Linked DNA regions of Struthio camelus. The protein of the gene in region 1 interacts with the protein of each later gene in a pairwise test. Links are inferred from orthologs where the notes say so. Each region holds a gene or a part of one and is shown in the gene's direction. Other genes may lie near its edges. The genes, in order: POLDIP3 and ERH.

Evidence for each region.
Region 2: the proteins of POLDIP3 (region 1) and ERH interact in a two-hybrid assay, tested with the Homo sapiens proteins (2 studies listed by BioGRID, with this or other methods). The link is inferred for Struthio camelus from reciprocal best matches to the Homo sapiens genes POLDIP3 and ERH.

What each region holds. Positions count from the first base shown.
Region 1 is NC_090942.1:56,143,397-56,152,789, forward strand, and holds the start of POLDIP3 (polymerase delta-interacting protein 3), read left to right. Parts: upstream 1-5,412; 5' UTR 5,413-5,485; coding exon 5,486-5,607; intron 5,608-7,641; exon of another isoform or gene 7,642-7,751; coding exon of another isoform or gene 7,752-7,771; intron 7,772-8,388; coding exon 8,389-8,785; intron 8,786-9,393. UniProt on the Homo sapiens protein: Is involved in regulation of translation. Is preferentially associated with CBC-bound spliced mRNA-protein complexes during the pioneer round of mRNA translation. Contributes to enhanced translational efficiency of spliced over nonspliced mRNAs.
Region 2 is NC_090946.1:45,491,274-45,500,415, forward strand, and holds the start of ERH (enhancer of rudimentary homolog), read left to right. Parts: upstream 1-4,800; 5' UTR 4,801-4,995; coding exon 4,996-4,998; intron 4,999-8,782; coding exon 8,783-8,870; intron 8,871-9,142. Other genes in the region: SLC39A9 (zinc transporter ZIP9), read right to left, coding at 4,019-4,136, 4,516-4,619. UniProt on the Homo sapiens protein: May have a role in the cell cycle.

The sequences.
Region 1 (9,393 bases):
GTTTAATTACAAGATCGTTTAATCAATTTCATACAAAGTGTTTCTGTGTCAAGGTAATAATTCTGATGATAGTATTACTGCCATCAAGGGGGAACTTACTGCCTTCATAGTAAATTGTTAATAGTTTTGTTATAATTAATAGAGAAGAATTAAGGTTTCTAACAGCCTAGATAGTTAGACGCTCTCCTAATTGCTGTTGGCTAGAAAGGTTGTTTGACTTCTGCCGCACCAGGCATCCGGGAGTTTGTCTGCTGAAAAGCGAGGAAGCACATCTAACACTACGGTCACTGTGACGAATGCGCTTCAGCTGGACTAAGAAATTATTTGCTCTTGCTCCCTGGCAATTTATCAGCCGCGTCACTGTGCCTTTAGCTGCTTCATATGCTGCTGTAAGATTCAGTGCAGGTAACATAACCGAGATGCTGTGCCACGCACTACCCCCAAGGTATTGTGACGCCCTTCGTATAATTTCCTAACAAATATTTAGAAAAAGGAGCTTAGAGATGAGACAGGGAGATGGTCTCATCTGCTCTGACTTCTGCACCCTGGCTCTCAGCCGCCTGCTGCTCAGGTAGACGCCTTCAAGGAGTCTGCTTTTTCAAAGGCTCCAGGGCAGGCCTGAAAATTACCCAGCACATTTTTACAACGGTCCTCTGGTAGAAGCAGCATGAGCTCTCCCAGGGCACAGGGACGTCTCTCAGGTGCTGCTTGCACCTTCCTCCCCCTCAGTCGCGAGAAGGGAAGCAGCACCCTGGGCCCTTCCCTCAGCAAACACCTAAGCAAGCAACCGGGAGAGACCTGTGAAAGCTGAGCCGCAGCTTCCCTTGTCTGACAGCCAGAGTAACACAATCATAAACCCAGGGAATGGGAGAGCCTGAGGTTTAAACTCTCATGAAACAGCAAAACTAATTCCCACTAACCAGCATCCCACAGAGACTCTAACACAGGAAACGCAGGTGCCTGTAGAGGGAAGGGAGGCGGGGGAATGCCCGTGGTGCTGAGCCAACGTGTCCAAACTGTCCCTCAGACAACTCCTGCGCACCAGCTCTGAACACCCAGGTGGTCGCAAGTCTCAGGCTGGACAGGACCATTTCAGAAAGCTGGGCCCTGACCCAGCATTTGAACACATAGGGTGATATTTTTTTTCCTTCCGTTTTTGTGAGGCTAAAGGATTTTCCTTCCTCAGCTGAGATCCTGGGGACTAACCCATTCCCAGCACCCTGGAGGCAGGAGAAACCAGGCAGCCCTGTCCCAGGTTCAGCCTCAAGTCCTGCATGGGATTAGTGTGAACCAGTATTGGGAACAGCCCTTCCTCCCTCCCACTCCCTCCACGGGTTTGGAGGAGGAGGAGGAGGAAGGAGCCAGCATCCTGCAGATGTAGGAGCCCTGCAGGGGCTTGAATACACCTGTACCTCTCTGTTCTGGGGACCTGTCTGGTGCCTGTGTGACAAAACTGGTGAGAAAATAAGAATCACCTGCAATGCTGTCACACTGCTTATCAGTTTAAGGCATAGCCTCATGATTGCAGAAAAGGGGACACTGATGTGTTTGTGAGTACCAGAGAAGTAATAAGGACAGTACAGCCAGCAGACCCTAGATGAGTTATTAGACCTGGAATTGGGATGATAATTCCAAACGTTGCGCAAGCTGCAACGTTCCCATTTTAATATGCTCTGTAGCCAAAAGCTAAGACGTGCAACCAGCTTAAAAGAGCTCCAGTGGGAAATGGCTGAATTTTTAACAGCAATGTGTAACTTCCCACTTAAAACATCCTTGGTATCTAAATGTGATGCCAGTCTTCCAATAAAGGCTCCAGGGGAGACCTGGCGACCTCCAGGGCTGCAAGCCCAGAGGCTGCACTGACCAGATGAGTAGGCTCTGAAAAGAAAGGAGAGAATCAGTGGGCTCCGTAGAAATATGGCCTACTTGGGAAGAGTCATGAAGGGTCAACAAGCAGGTGAGTACTACTCAGATAATCTAAACTCTCTGAATGGCTGAAAAGTTTTGAAAAAAGCCCTTCACCAAAGTCCTTCAAGGAAACTGTGCAGCTGCAGGATAAGAGAGGTCTATCATGAATGAATGATTGGCTAAAAAATAGGAAACAGACGGTGAGGGTAAATGGAGGGAGGTCAGTGACGGAGCTTGGCTGGGATCTGTGCTGTTTAACATGGCTGTAAGTGACCTTGGAAAGAGAGCAAGGAGGTTATAAAGTTGGCTGATGATGTGAAATTATTTACCGTAGTGAGGAGGTTGAAAAGCTGTGAAGAGTTGCAGAAAGACCTTACACACTGAGTGACTGAGTGGCAACAAAAAAAAAAAAAGTCAGAGGAAATTCAGTGTATTTATACATAAAGTGATGCTGAGAGGGGAAAACACTCCTCACTATACATACAAAAGGACAGGCGGTCACCTGATCGCTATCACTCAGCAGCAAGACCCTGGGGATTTGATAGAGAATTCTGTGAAATTATCAGCAGTAGTCAAAAAATAAAATCCAGGATTAGGAATCATTGTGAAAGGAGTAGGAAACGAAACACAGAACATCCAAACATGCCATTATATACCTGCGTGATCTGCCTACATCTGAAACTGGAACGGCGTCAGTGAAGGCCAACAGTAATAATCAGTGGTCTGAAAGGGCTTTGATAGGAGGAACGGGTGAGTAGGCCTGGCCTACAATTCATGAGCAGACGAGAAGGTGGGCAGAGGCCACACGTGCGCTCCCTGCCTTAATTCCAGCAACTAGGCTGGTGGGAGCCGGATGCAAAACAAGGGGAGGTGGCTCTTCCCACAGCAGGGAGCAGACCTGTCGCACTCCTTGCCAAGGCATACTGTGGATGCAAAAATATTGCTGGGGGTCAAGACGAGTCTGGACAGGCATCTGGAAGAGTCCTGCGTTGGGGGTTACCGAAACACAGGAAATCATCAGAATACCATGAGTAGCTGGTAGCACACTCAGGGGAAGTACCATATGGGCTTGTCCTCTTCTTCCTCTTCCCTGGGCATCCTCTTATGGCCACTGTTTTGGTTAGTTTGGATTTGTACCCCCCCCCCCTTCTCCCACAAACGATGCAGCTGTTTCTCACATTTGGGGAAATTGCAAGGGGCAGCACACCAGAGTGGGCCTCAGGCTGGGGAACCCACCTTCCTGATGCTGCTGCCTCCCCACAGCCTGGAAATAGGATACTGGGCAGACAGACCCTGGGTCCCTACTGTTCTTATGTTCAGTCAAATTTGCTCAAAAAAGGTGACTATTAGTTTTGCAACAGCAGGCTTTATGGCTGGTCACACATCATCCGCCACATTAGTTTGATCAAGTATCTGCTGCAGAAAAGCCCGCACAAAAGCAGGAGAAGGGCGTAAACTCATGCTCGTGTAGCTAGTTTGATAGCAACGCAGTCACGTGCCAGCCTTGATCCGGGTCAGGTGCGTACCAGGGCCGCCGCAGCTCGGGGCGGCGCTGCGGGGAGACCGCAGGAGGCACACGACGAAGGTGTGGGGGGGACGAGGTCGCCCTCGTGCCGGGGAGCTGCCGCGTGGAGACCTCTGCGTCTCCGAGGTCTCCTGTCTTCTAAGGGAGGGCGGAAACCCCTCGCTGTGGGCTCACAGCACCGCGTTGTGCCCGAGCAGGTCACTGGGAGGGAGGCCCAGCAGCACCAGGGCCCCACAGGGAAAGCCGCAGCCGTCTCCCTGCGGGCCACCGCCACGGAGGCTGGCGAGCCACGGGGCACAGCAGGGGACAACTCTGCGGCCACTTAGCAGCAGGAAGTCCACGTCGCCCGAGTCCGTACAAGGCTCTTCCTTTCCACGGATTCCTTTTCTGGGCAGTCTGCTTTTAAACCGAGCGACTTCTCCCACAAAAGCATTAAAATAAAATCTTTTCCTAGAGAAACGGGAGGCGTCAGAGCAATTTTGGCAACGTACTTCTAACTGTTGTGAAATCCTTGAGGCCAGCTCGGAAAGACCGCATTACAAATCAAGCAGACGGGGCTGTTTTCTTGGGTTGGTTTTTAAGAAGTTTCATCGAGTTATCCTTTATGACGTTTGACGGGTGAAGTTCACCAACGGCTCTCGCCGGCTCAAGGAGGAAACCGCGGGTCGCGGGAAGCCCAGCTCGCCTCGCCCCCCGCCCGAGACGGGCAAGGTGCCGCCGCCGCCCCGGCAGAGACCGTTGGTGGCGGCCCGGGGGCGGGGCGGGGCTATGACGGCCGCTGAGGCCCCACTGGCTCCTCTCTCTTTGGGACGGGCAGCTCGGGAGGGTCGGGCAGATCATGGCACCCGGGCATCCCGCGAAGTAAGCGGGTCACCCGGGGACGACCTGTACCCGCGCAAAAATTCCTCTCACATTAGCAGTGAGGACCCGGGCGTCACCCCGGGTCGTTATTTTCCTTACTCATAAGTTTAAGGCATAACGCTCCCCTCCCCGCCCCGCCGTGGCAGCCCTGCGCGCCAGCTCCACAGGTCACGGCGACCAGACCGCTGCGCCGTCCCGCAGAGGGATAGCGGTGTCTCCGCCGCCCCGATCTTTCTGCCCGGTGCGGGCCCCTCTCCGCGCCGTTTAAACGCGGCAGCGGACCGGACCGGTACGGGACGTGCGGGCGGCCGTATGTAAATGAGGGACCGGGGCGCCGCTGGGGGTTCTGGGTCCGCCGGGCTCGCGCGCGCCCTTCTCTCCCCCGCCCCTGTCGCGCACTCAGGCGGAGCCCGGAGGGGGCGGGGAGGGGGCACGCGCTTACTTCTGGTGGGCGGGGCGAGGAACGGAAGCCGCTTGATGTCACGTCCGGGTCTCGCTCGCTGCGTCTTATCTCTGGGCCCGGCGACAAGATGGCGGACCTCTCCCTGGACGAGCTCATACGGAAACGCGGCGTGACCGTGAAAGGGAGGTAGGTGGCCGGCAGGGCAGCGCCCGAGGCCGAGCTTCCCCCGGCGGCTCCTTCGTCCTCCCCCCTAGTCTTTCCGCTTTGGGGGGGCGGGGGCCGCGGGCCGCAGCCTGCCTCAGCGCGGCCCGGCCCCTTTCCGTGCACTCGCCTCTCCATTGGCTTAGGCGGCGGCCCGTGGGGCGTCGTTTTGGGCACTGATTGGTGGGGCGGGCCGTCGCTCACCGACGGGACGGGGCGGGGGGGGGTCGCCGCTCCCCCGGCGCTGCCCCCGGCGCGGGGTCTCCTTCCCGTACCGAGCCCTTTCCCTCGCTGCCGAGGCTCCTGGCGCAGCCGGCCCTTCCTCCGGTGCCTCCGACCTCCTCTCCGCCCGTGAACCCGCTTGCGCTCCCCAAGGCGGGGGTCGCGCCGCCTCGGGCCTGCAGCGGCCGCTGGGCTGCGGGGCCCGGGGGGGAAGGAGGCGCCGGGGCCGGCGGACGGGGGCCGCTGAGGAGCGCCGCGGCGCATTGCGGGACGGCCGCGGGAGGGGTCGGAGCGCCACGGGGCGCCCTGAGGGTAGCTGCGGTGGGCGGCCGGGGCACAGCGCAGGCACAGCTTCGTCGGCGTTGATGCCGGCCCCTTGGAAACTGCCGCCTCTGTGGCACGGCTGGCCGTGCCCTGGCGGACCGTGTGGAGCGGGATACATGGGAGCAACGAGATTAGGCTCGGGCTTTGTATGGCGGGCGTCTCCGTACGTATGGCCGTTCGCTCCTTAGTGTAGCTGTTGGCAGGTTCTCGTTCGGCGTCCCCTGTGATAGCTTTTCATCCTCCCCTTTGCTTTAGTCTCTTGATGCTTTTCGCGATGCTGTCCACGGATTTCTCTGCTCTGCGTTAGCCAAGTTTGCCTCTGTTTTGGTGCTCTCTGGCCACTGAGGAATCTTGGGCTTGAACTGTGAATATGAGCGCTTCCGTGTCTAGAACAGTATTTTGAAAGTTCTCTGCTAACAGGTAGTAACTGAAAGATTCAAACACACCTCTGAATCGTAGCCTAGACAAGGCCTTGGCTTTGTGCTTTCATTCATGTTATGCTGCGTGTTTGGAACAGTCTTGCACTGCTTAATATGCCAAGCACCACCTCCTCCTCTTTTTCAAATCCCTCCTTAACTCTCATTTCTTCCAGGAATCCTTCCAGCTTTTATCTGCTGAGCAATAATCTCTCAGCAGCACTATTAGAATGTTTCTGCCTTGTGTTTCTCTTGTTTGGCATCTTTAGCTCATATTATAAGATTTCTGAGGTAGCTAACGTGCCTTTCTGAATGCCGGACAAGCCAAATAGACTTTTATCTTTGCATACATGCTCTTTAGTAGTCCAAGGGAAATGGTAACAGGAAAGTATTCAGCTATAAAATGTGCTAACACACAAGCTCTTATAATGTGCCATGGATAAGTCAGTTAGAACTTGCAGTAACGGAAAGTGAATTTTATGGAATTATGATGTTTGAGATTCCCTTGTGTTTCAGGTATCGTGGCACAAAATGGGCACATAATGCCTAAAGCAGTTTGTGTTGTTTGTTTTAAGATAAGCAAAAAAAAAAATTCTTTATGAAGATAAACTCTTCTTCAGAGGCGGTGTAATCTTCTGTACAGTTTCCTAACTGATTTCATTGATAGGCATCCTAACTGTTCTAATTAAGTCTGGCTTAAATGCTAGTATGTATATTCCTGGTTTACTTTGACTTCTCTTTTATGCTTATTAAAAGGAATCACTCATCAATCTTTCTACAGCACTCTAACCAAATGCTTGCAGCATTTTAAGATAACAGGCCTTAAAATTACAAGGGAAGCTTTTGTTTTGTGGCTATTGCTTTGCAAGTACTGTTCCTCTTTCATATACTTTTGGATATATTTTAACAAATGGACTTAATATTTTTGTCTCTTAATTGGCATGCTCTGTCTGAATGAGATCAGCCATAGGATTTTTAGCTAGCTGACAAAATGGGACTCCAGGCCTACTTTTCCATTTGTCTTTCATTCTTGCTGCATCCAGACACAGAGGATGATGCAAAGTCTTTTCCATCTCTTTTCCACTATTTTTCCACAGACCTCTTCACTGTAAATACATGACTGTAAGTAGAATGCTAAAACTGTAGTGTTAGATAAATCAGGAAGTACTGATACAAAGCTATATGGAGAAGTTGACTTGTGGTGGTGTTTGAATTTGTGATGTTAGTCTTTTAAGTGTTACAACAAATTCTAAAATTCAATAAAATATCTAGGTTTTATAATACTGTGCAGTACTTTTAACAAAGCATATAAACACTGTAGTGCTCTAGCTTTTTTTTTTTTGAATAAAAAAGCCAATGGTGAGAATGTTTTTCAGGACCTTAACTTTAAAATTTCTCCTGCAACTTTGTCATCTTCTTCCAAAAAGAAAACCCAATGAAAAAATCCAAAACTTAAAAATACTAGGAAGAGAAGGTGTATTAAAAATGCAGACAATTCAGCTTATTCCTTTTAGGGGAAGCTTTGAAAAAAGTAAATCAAATCTGTAATGAGAAGCTAGCTTCAGCTTTCACTACAGAATAGGCTACTTCTTAATAACATCTCCATCTGAATGTAAGAAAAACTCTTTACCGTGAGGGTGATTGAACACTGGAACAGGTTGCCTAGAGAGGTTGTGGAGTCTCCATCCTTGGAGGTATTCAAATCCCAGCAGAGCACAGTCCTGGACAACCTGCTCTAGGTGACCCTGCTTGAGTAGGGTGGTTAGACCAGATTCTCACCGGAGCTCCCTGCCAACCCCGGCTACTCTGTGATCTGTGTACAAGTACAAACGCCATTCTCGGTCTGAGACTGACGTTCTCTGACTGTTATCCTTCTGTACTGAGTATTGCAATGGTGATGTGCTTTAAAAGGTAAGCCAGCGAGTGCAGCAGTGGTAGTTGTGGATTAGGTGAGAAGCAGTGATGTTAGCAAGTGATTTGACTAGCATGTAACTGTGCTGGCAGTTAATCGGTTTTGGAGTTGGTGGCCTTCAGCTGAGATTTGTACTGGTGCTTGTGCAGCCTAAAATCAAAGCCTCCCGCACTTCTGAAAATCTGAACTTGTTGTCCAGAATTCTTCGAAATCACATGTAGTTTCATGTTTTCTTTGTACCAGGACATATTGTGTTACAAAAGATGTTTTAGAGGACCTGGTCAATCCTAAACCTGGATCATCTGTTTCTGTTTCTCTTTGTGTTCAGAGGGCTCCCTGAAGTACCTAAGTTCTTGATAAATTTCATTTGGGTGTGGGATGGATTTAGCACAGCTCAAGTCAAGCCTTGGGCTCATAAATATGACCTTAAGGACCAATTTTAGAAATCAGTTCTTTATATTTTACTTTGTAAGTAAATAGCTAATGTAAAACAGCTTAGGTTCTCTACTGTTTTTTGGACGTCTAACCTGGATAGGGTTGTGTGTAGTAATAGTGACTTCAGATACTTTTACTGATATTAAATCTTTTCTTACAACGTCTGAAACTCTCTTTCTAGGCTTAACACAAGGCCAGTGTTTGGAGGTGTAAGATCTCGCATTGGGATCCAGCAAAATCTTCTCAGTAGATCCTCACCAGCTGTCAGCTTCCAGCGGACATTTGATGCCCGGCAGAAGATTGGCCTCACTGATGCCCGACACAAACTGGGAGTTAAGGATGCCCGTGAAAAACTGGTTCAGAAGGACGCTCGTTTCAAAATCAAAGGGAAAGTGCAGGATGCTCGAGAGATGCTGAATTCCCGTAAGCAGCAAAGTATTGCTGCTGAAAAGGTGACCAAAGTGGTGGATGCCAGAGAGAAGATAAGCTTAAAAAGGAGCACTCCTGCTGCTGCTGCTGCTATCAGCCCAGCTATGGGGACAGTAAATCCAGCCATGAAAATCACCAAAACTATCCAAGTAGGTCAAGCAAGCCACCTCTAAGCCCCTTAGTTATTCTACTGCAGTCCAGTGGAAGTGATAATACTTACAATGAATGTGTCACAAGATTGCAATAGAAGCCATGGAGATGCGGTTGAACCTAGTCTGTAGGGCAAGGTTTAGAGTCCTCGATTTTCAGCGTCCTTCAGCTCTTTGAGGCTTTTTTGTAGAAGCCAAGCTTTCGTTTAAAGAAAAGAACTTTGGGCCCGATAAATGACTAAAGCAGCATAATGTTCTCAGTGCTAAAGTAATTATCTGAAAGTGTTAAACGTAAAATCTTTCTTTCTCCCAGCTAAAACCTAAGGAAATGCTTTTGTTGTTTTGGGGGGATTTTTGTCATTCTAATACCATTGCATGAGTGTGTTTTGGATTGTCCTGTCTAGATAACTGGTTTATTTCCAGTTTAGAATATGCAACTATTGGTATCTTGTAGCAGATCTAAAGCTTTTCTTTTTAATACAACTTCTGTGTTTATACCCTCCCCCTTTTCAGGGAATTGCCTGATTATTTGACCCGTTCCTCCTGAGGCTCAAGCTTTATTCTGGTTTCAATATCATCAGTTGATTATCCTGACCTGCTGATTTTCT
Region 2 (9,142 bases), on another chromosome or scaffold:
AAAATGACGGGTAGCTACAAAATATGACAGACAGGACTGAGTCCCAAAAATAGGTTCAAAATCAGAATTATATAAATCATTTAAAGAGCTTCTTTATCACATTTTAGGGCAATACAAACAGATATTCCACTCTAGGTAGTTACAGATCATGGCACTCCCTTTTCCGCTCTGCAAACATAGCTAAAACTGAAATCTACTGTAAAATCTAAGCATTGCAAATTGGTAATTAAAACTTAAAGAATATTATGTAAACCTAGTATTTTTACAGTGTAATCTAGAAATATTCCAGGAAAATCAAGTTTCCGCAACAAGCTTAAACAACAACAAAAGTAGGTAAGGATTTTGTAAGCAGTTGCTACTAATAGTAAGGACCGCCTTTCTAGAAAGATTCTAAGATTTTGTCTAACTCTGGACAAAAAGCCTAGAAAGAGATCAGTACTCCCTCGACTGCAGTACCTCTTGACTAAATTTTATTTTTCCTAAGAAAGAACAATTTACTATTAACTTTTGTTTGCTTGTGACTAGAACACTGACAGGCTAAAGTCAAAGTCATGCACTGAAAATGCCGTAACATTAACATCTAATGGTACCTAAAATACATCAACTTGCTTCATATGACAAGTTTCTCTCCTATCCAGAGGATCATTTCTGTAATAGCCATTAGCACAACACACATAGTAACTAGTGATGTTCAGATCTTGATGTCAACTGTGTATCACGTACTTTGTGGCAGAACCATCATCATCTTGAATGCACAATCAGATGTCTGCGCACTGCCCAAATACCAGAGTTAACTACTGAGGACCTGGAGATGGAGTGCAGTGTTGGAGTAACAAGAAACCGCTCATAGCATATCCTTATTATGCTCCCCCTGCTTCTCCTCATGCATTGTAATGATGCAAGTTCAATAAATCTCAACGAAATAGATGAGCCTCGTATAGAAGAAACACAGGCTCTGGAGGGACTTACAACTAGCTTTCTAAATGCATGCCAGACATGACCATAATGAAATGTTTACAGCTTTACTGGGGAAAATTCAAGGGGTAATATGCAGGAGATGAAAATACTTGTAAAGTTTCCACCAACACACACTGTACAGTCACATGACAAATACACTTGATAGGTTGTTATACAGTGGGAATCTATATAAATAGCTGATCTTCCACACTGACTGTTTTTAAAGTAGTTTTGCCAAAATATGACCTCTCAAAAGCTCAATAAGATGATGTTTATACTGCAACACTATAATCTCTCATTTTACATAATATATATGCACACACACACACACACAGCCAAAAACAAAATGTCACAAGTAATATTGTTTTATTATGACTGCAAATACAGAGTACTGCGTGCATTAATTTGGACATCTGCGATTTTTAAAAATGCATGAAAACAACACACGTTAACAAATTACTATTTCAAGAAAAAACACCATGCTTCTAGATGATTAATACAGACATCTAATAATTGCAGTCCGCCCAGATGGGTGAAAGTCTTCTAGTTTTGTCCAAGAAGCTGCATCTTTTAAAAACAAACCATTTAGTCACCAAAACACTTATGAGTCTCATGAAAAACAACAACAGAGTAAGTTGTGTTAAAACCTCACAGGAAAACATCTTAAATTTCTGTTCCAAAAAAAACCCCCAAACTCCCAAATTAGCAAGCTGTTCCACAGCTCAGCGTTTCTCCAAGAGTGATGTCAGTTTCTTGCTTTAAATCTGTGTAGCATTGAAACTCTGACAACAACCAGCAAAAACTTTCACCTACTTTCAGTAGCAAACAGTCCCACTTCAGTCAACACTGTGTTAGACACTCAAAGGATCCAAACTTCCAGAACTTGATTTTTTTTTTTTTGGCTTTTGAGCTACAACTTAAGAGATAGCCTCAAGAAAAGGCACAGTCTGGTTTCTGGCCCAAGCCTAGCCTAATAGAGTGTTAGGCTATACTACAAATCAGGACTAAGCTAAATGGGTTCATATCCGCATAAACAAACAAAGTGAAGCTCTGCCCAGTCTAGCTTTTTACCACAGATATTTCATTCTCCCTGGCTGTGCTGGAGTTTCATACTTTTAAGAAAATTCAAATCTAACTCAAAGGACAGAAAACAAGACAGAAATAATAACATAAAGAATAGGTTCCACAGCAAAAAAAGTCTTCTGAAGAAATGCATTAACATTAGCAAATAATTTTTTCTCCAGCATCCGGGGTGTATCATGTAAAGCATTCATTTTTATTTCCTATTTCGACCCTTACAAGGCATTTTTTCCTCATTGAGGCTATAAAATGTTTTGCAAACCAGAGAACGTGTAGTCCAAATAGTTCATCTTAGTTTAAAACGTTCCATGCTGCAAATGCTCAGTCAATTATTTAAACAATTCTAACTTTTAATTAGATACTTCCAGGATTAGGTAGTATTTGCACAAAAAACATCTGCAAAGAGGTTCAGCTCCTCTTTTAAATGAACACAACATATGAGTGCTTTAAAAAACTATTTAAGTCGAGTACAAAACTGAGTCAAGAAATTCTGAGAGTTTAAGATACCACAATAAACTTACTTTACAAACTGTGCACACATTTACAAACACTGCAAACATAACAGCAGGCTGGTAAGTATTTGATTACTGTTTATGCAGAGCACTACATTTTTGGTTCTACAAAACTTTTATAACAGATTTCTATCCAAAGCAGTCAGAAGCCCCTAGCGATTTAGGAGTCCCCTGATCCAACTGTACAGACATGTATAAACTGTATAAACAATTCAACGTCATCGCCAAAGAACTTATAACCAAACATAAAGAGACAATAGGTGACTTGCAAGCACACTCCTGAGGAAATTTAAAAAAAAAAAAAAACTTGAGACAATATTTAACATGCTAGGTAGTGGTCTCAGCAAATTTGCAAGAAAGTCCTTTCTAGGCTTCAGAGTAAAAGTGAGTTTTAAAAAGGGAGAAGAAGGTAGCAACAGCCTTGATGACGTTTAAGAGAAGGTCCATCAAAGCATTAGATGAAGCACTGCTAATGCAGTCAACCTAATTTTTATGTAAAGATCTCAGGATATATTCTCATGTTTCAAATCATTCAGTTGAATTTTGCTGTAATGAAAAGAACTACACTTCTTCCCACGCTGTTCACAATCTACTGCTCCCCAAAGCCTCCACCGCACTAGTTATCATGAGACTAAAGGATAAGTTCGAGGTCTGATGTGATGGGGAAACAGGTAACATTTCTTTTCCATCACCTCCCTTTCCAAGAACAGCACTGTATCCAGTAGAAATGAGAAACCAGGCTCTTACCACTTCATAATGACTGAACTTTCACTACACTACACCTTATTGCAACAATCAACATTTCAAAAAAATAAAAGCCGACAGGCCTCAGAGAATATTATGAGACTTCCAGAGACTGTAACAACAGCCTCCTTCTCTTTTAACAATATCTTTTTTATCCTAGATATTTTTCAAAAAGAATACTTTGAGTTGTCAATAATATTAAAATGACTTGAAATTTTTCTTGTAATCATCAAAGAGCTAGATATTACCTCATATTAAGTATGAGCAAAACAGTTAACCAAAACCAATTTTCTGAGAACATTTTCAGAACTGGTTTAGAAGCCCTGACTCAAACAGTCCACGGACACGTAACAAAAGTTAGTCTGACTTCAGAAGCTTCCGACACAAACTCCTTACAAGAATAACAATGCCCAGCTACTCTCCTGTTCTTCAACCATATGCTGAGGCTTCCCTGTACCTGCAGCGGAGAGACCTGCATAAATTTTGATACATTTAAGTAATTTTACATTCGATTTTGAATAAACATTATTTCATGCTGTGATTTTCAGTGAAGGTTAACATCCACTCGTGTTTTCCTTAGAAATCTTTTTTAAGTTAGAAGAGCACCTACAAAAGCATAGCCACAGTTGAAACGGGACAGCATTGATACCTCGTGGTAGATTTTGCATCTAATTCCTGCTATTCTTCCGTAGCAACCAACGAGTAGTTTGGTGAAGCTGTCTTACCTCTGAAAAATTAACTGCCAGAGGGATAATCCCTGCCACATAACAGGCAACCAGCATGGCCAGAGACAGCAGGCAGATGGAGTGGAAATCATCCATTTCGCTGCTTTCTGTCCAGTCCCTTAAAGTGAAATTCAACAGCAACTTTTCCACCTCGCCCCGCACGCCTTAACCCGTGCAGACACCGAGGTCCCAGGAAAGGCCTTCAGCCATGTCTGTCCTGCCCGGCGGCGCCGGTCGGCTCAGCCCCCAGCAGCGGCCCCCTCCGGGCCAGGGGTGCAGCAGCCCCGGCTCTGCCCGCCGCGGCCGACGACGGCCGGGGAGAAGGGGCGGCCCAGCCCGGGCCGGGGCGGGCGCAGCCCTCCCCTGAGGCGGCTGGACCCTGCCCTGCGCCCCGGGGTGGGGGGACCGCCGGGCCCTGACGCTGCTCGGCACAGCGGGCCGGGGCCGCGGGGAAGGGAAGGGGAAGGGCCGGGCCGGGAGGGAACCGGAGGCCGCACCAGTCCGCGGGCTCCCTGCGCCCACCAGACCCCGCCGCCACCTCGGAGGCCAACTGCCACCTCCACGACACAGCACTTCCTCTTCCGGGGCGCACCCGTCGCATCACCCCGCGCGCTTCCCGCCTTCAAGATGGCGGGCGAGGCAGCGGCCGCCCTGCCGCCCGCGCGAGCCGAGGCGGGAAAGCGCGCGGCTCCCTCACCAAAGATGGCGGCGCGGCGTAGCTCTCCCTCAGCTATTCCCACAAGCCCCCCCCCTCCCCCCCACTTCCCGCCCAGCATGGCGTGGGCGGTCGTTCCCGGCATGCTCCGCGCCCTGCCGTGTGGCAGCGCGCTCTCGCGCGCCGTGCGCGTGCGCGGCAGTCTAGCACCTCGTCGTCTATGGTCGGCCGTTAGCGAGGCGTTTCCGGCCGGCGCGGGGGCTTGTGGGGGAATTGTCGGGCGCCTCTTAGTCGGCGGCGGAGCTGCGGAGCGGGAGCCGCTATGGTGAGCGGGCCCCGGTCGGCCGCGCCGCCACCCCCCCCCACCCCCCTTCCCCGCTACCTCCCGGCCTGGGGGCGGCGGCGCGGGCCCTCCCGGGCTGGCAGCGGCGGGCAGGCCGCGGCGGGGGCGGGCGGGTGGCAGCACGTGCTCGCGGCGGGCCCCGGGGCGGGCGCGGGCCGCGGCTGCGGCGCGCACAAAGGGCGGGCGGGCCGCGGCCCTTGGGGAAGCGCCGCTCGGCCCAGGCGGGCGGGGCGGCGGCGGCCTCGGGGGCCTGAGCTGCTGCTGCTGCCGCCCCGCTGCCGCTCGGCGCGGCGGAGCGGAGCGGGGGGTGGGGGGGCAGCTCGTGCTGGCGGGCTGCGGGACCGGCCCGCTGGTCGTAGCAGCTTGTCGCATTCATGTAGTAAACGTGGGTTTTGCTCAAGCAAGACGTTGCGCTTTGGTGGAAAAAGCGCTGTGGGGTTTAGGGCAAAAGTCTTGTGGCCGCCTGTGTAGCGCTTGGGCAGGTAGTTAGTTCCTGCTAGGACAAGCAGCTACAAGCCCTGTCCTGTTGTCGAAAGTGAAAAGATGGAAGCCACTTAAACCGCTATTTCTGGCCAGCAGGAATACCCGAAAGTCCTTTGAGCGCTTGTGGCATATTGCCTGTCTTTACTTTACTATGCCTGTTTATTTGTCCTTCACACTGTTTGCATCTCTTCCCTTTCCATTTTTTGCCTTATTGTTGAATAGCCCCGACAGTTGCGAGAAGCGCCTTTGGACAGATGTTGACTAACTCCTATGCCCTGTTTTTGCCTGTCAGTGCTGCCTTAAGTGTTTTTTCAGGGTTATGTCTTCAATAATGTGCTTAAAGCACGTTCCGAAGAGCTCTCAAGACGTTTAAAATTCATATAACGTAAACCAGTGTGGTATCTACTCTGCTGTCTCCTTGAACAGCAGACAGTTCGATTACACTTTAAAGGAAAGCACAAGAAAACCCACAGTCTGCAACAGGACAGTAAGAGTTCTTATTGGGCTGTTCCTGATAACCTAGTCTGATTAAACAAGGGTTTCTGCATCATCCACCACCACTTTTCTTTTTCCTAACAACAGGATTTATACCCATAGGAAACTTGGATTTGGCCTCTGTCGCCTAAGCATGTATTCAGTAGGGCAGCTAATAGTTTGAGGAAACTTCTCTTGTACTTCTAAGTTTGTCATTCTTTGGCCCTCCTGTGGAGGGAGAGGAGGAGCAATTTCATAAAATCATTCAAAAAGTTTTTTTTCTTTAGAGTAAAAATGTGGGAAGTTCTTAAATTTGAGATATATATTTTGATTTTTTTTATCCTTTTCCTCCTTAAGGTTTTTAGGGGAAGATGAGAAATTAATAGCTAGTTTAGGGGAAGATGAGAAATTAATAGCTAGTAGAGGAAGAAACAAAAGTCAGTAGTAACAGGATCAAAAAATACTGGCAATAATTTAGGCTCATTTCTTGATGGGTGTAGTAGAATTATTATTAGTGGCTTGCAGAAACTAGTCTTCATTATGTATTGCTGTTTTGCACTTAGAAAAGCTGAAAGATATGCCTTTTTAGAGCATGAATAATAATTCCCCAGGCCAGTGTCTGATATGGATATTGAAAAATGTCTTAAGTGATGAATCACTTAAAATCAGAGACTTAGATGCCTGGCAATCTCATTATTGGGATAACGTTAGAACATACATGCACGATGGTTTAACGTTTAAAGAATAGGAGGGATAGCCTGGGTATTTATACACCAGACAGCCTACAATTGTTCTCCACCAAGAGACAGAATACATAATTCAGTCAGTTATTATATCATTTTTTAATGTTAATCAGTTCTCTTTTATCTGTGCTCTTTTAGGTTTTGTGAAATAATCCCAACCTGTTCTTTAATTTTGAGCCTGGTTGAAAAAGATAAATATGTATAACTCTACCTGAATCAAACATCTCATAAGTTTAGTTTGCAAGACATTCTGATGCTAAAATAGTACAACTGTTTTAGAGCAAGTTTCCTAAGCTGCCTGAAGCACTTCCTTTATTACTGTTAATAGAGAATCCTTAGTGCTCAGATGCTCCCAAGAAGTTAAAGTTACAAGTCTTAGAACCAAGCCTTGTCACCAGTGATCAGCAAACAAATGCGATATTGCTGGTAATAGAACTTGATCAAAGTTTGGCAGAATGATTTAGACTCCCTAGTACGACAAGCCTGTTAAGTACAGCAGGCTTTGGAACCGCCAGATACCAGCCCCCCCCCCCCCCTTGAGGAATTCCATTCAAATTAAGTGTCCTGTGACCTACATGAAAGTGGACTTAGCTGGTCTAGTTGTCTTTGCATGATTTTTATTCTAGTGCATAGCTCTGAATTCTCCTTTTGTTCTGTTTCTAATTGGGGAAAAGTCTTGATCTTTTCTGTTCCTTTGTGTCACTTTTTTCTGGTCTCCTTTCCATCTCTTTCTATCATGATATTTGAGACAGCATTTCAAGAACTGAAAACTAATTCCCAGCATGGGAATACTATCAATCGTGGTGTAGAAATCTTTACTGCCTTCCTATATGTTCTTTGCAAATCCTAATAACTTTTTTGCCATTTTTCTGCATCTGAGTACTGAACTGGAATCTTAACTGTCCTGTCCAAATCATGGGTCAGGAGTTTTCTCTCAGCAGTTAATTAATTTAAACCCAACAATATGTTTTAGTAATTATATTTCCAGTGTGGCTTACTCTGCAGTTGCCAGCGTGAATGTTATGTGCTGTGTGCTCACCTCACTTATTAGCATTGAAAATGTTGGATTCAGTTGACACTAATGGAATGGTGTTGTCTAACGTGCTTACAAAATTTCTGTGATCTATAACTCTTAATTAGGTCAGGGACATGTATACTTCAAAAATCTTACCTGTTGTTTGTTCACATTTCTGTACTCTAGTGAAAAATATTACAGAAGTAATGTAAGCCACACAATGTACAACACCCTAAGTCTTTCCTGCAGAAAAGCAAATTTACAGGCTCTGACATTTGGAACAGTTATCTGTGTCATAATTACTGTTCAGTAGACTCACTGAGGTATTAAGAATCAGTGCATCTGTTTTCAAGAAATAGTCTTGAACACTAAATACAGCTTTATAATTTATGTTCTCTTGAAATTGAATGAATAACTCAAAATAACTTTTTGCATTAGGATATTTGAGCTGAGACTGATGGTAAAGTTAAGTTAGACTCGCTTTTGATCTCTGCTTGGGGTATTTAAATCATACTAACAGTCTGCATTTAAAATGAAATAAGCGAATGTGCTAATTGGACAGCTATTATAGATTGACTGTTATTGCTTTGCTTTTCTGTTTAAGTAGAAAATACTATTTCTGTGGTGGTTCTTCAACACAATAGGTGCTTTACTAGTGATTTTACCCATTTAGAAAACATTTTAAGGATGGATAGAACTGATTGGAAACAAAAATTGTTAACACAACATATATGAAAAGTAAGTGCCATTTGGAAAAAACTGTCTCCTCAATTGCCAGATCCATGTTATAATACAGTGCTTGTTTTTAGAGGTATGTGATAGCTGTGTAAGTTTTAAGAATTTACCATCTTAGTCCTCAGATTTATCCTTACACACCGAAGTTGTGTGTGATAGGTGTCATGAAGTAACACTGGGGACAGATATATTTAGTGCAACCCAGTTTGTCTAATGATTTGGTGGCCAAAAATCCCTGTAGCTTAATCTTTGCATGCTTCATTCAAATATTAATAATTTTGGAAGTAACTCATGGCTTTTTTCCCCCCCCGCCCAGTCTCACACAATTCTACTTGTTCAGCCCACCAAGAGGCCAGAAGGCAGAACATATGCTGATTATGAATCAGTGAATGAGTGCATGGAAGGTGGGTATCATTGCTTCTGCAGTCATGATAATGGGCAATTGTTGTTAAAATCTTTTTTTGACATATTCCCAAAGCTTGCTTGTTAAGTGAACAAGTTGCTATTCCCAAGAGAAGTCACAAAAACTGCAAAAATGTCTCATTCTTTCAGTTTACTAGTGTTCTTGCACGCTAAAAATAGTTTGCAAGTAAGTAGATTGAACCACGTCACTTCAGGAGATTAGATGATACCACCACCCTGGTGGCCTTGCAGTAGACCTTTTTGAATGCATTTT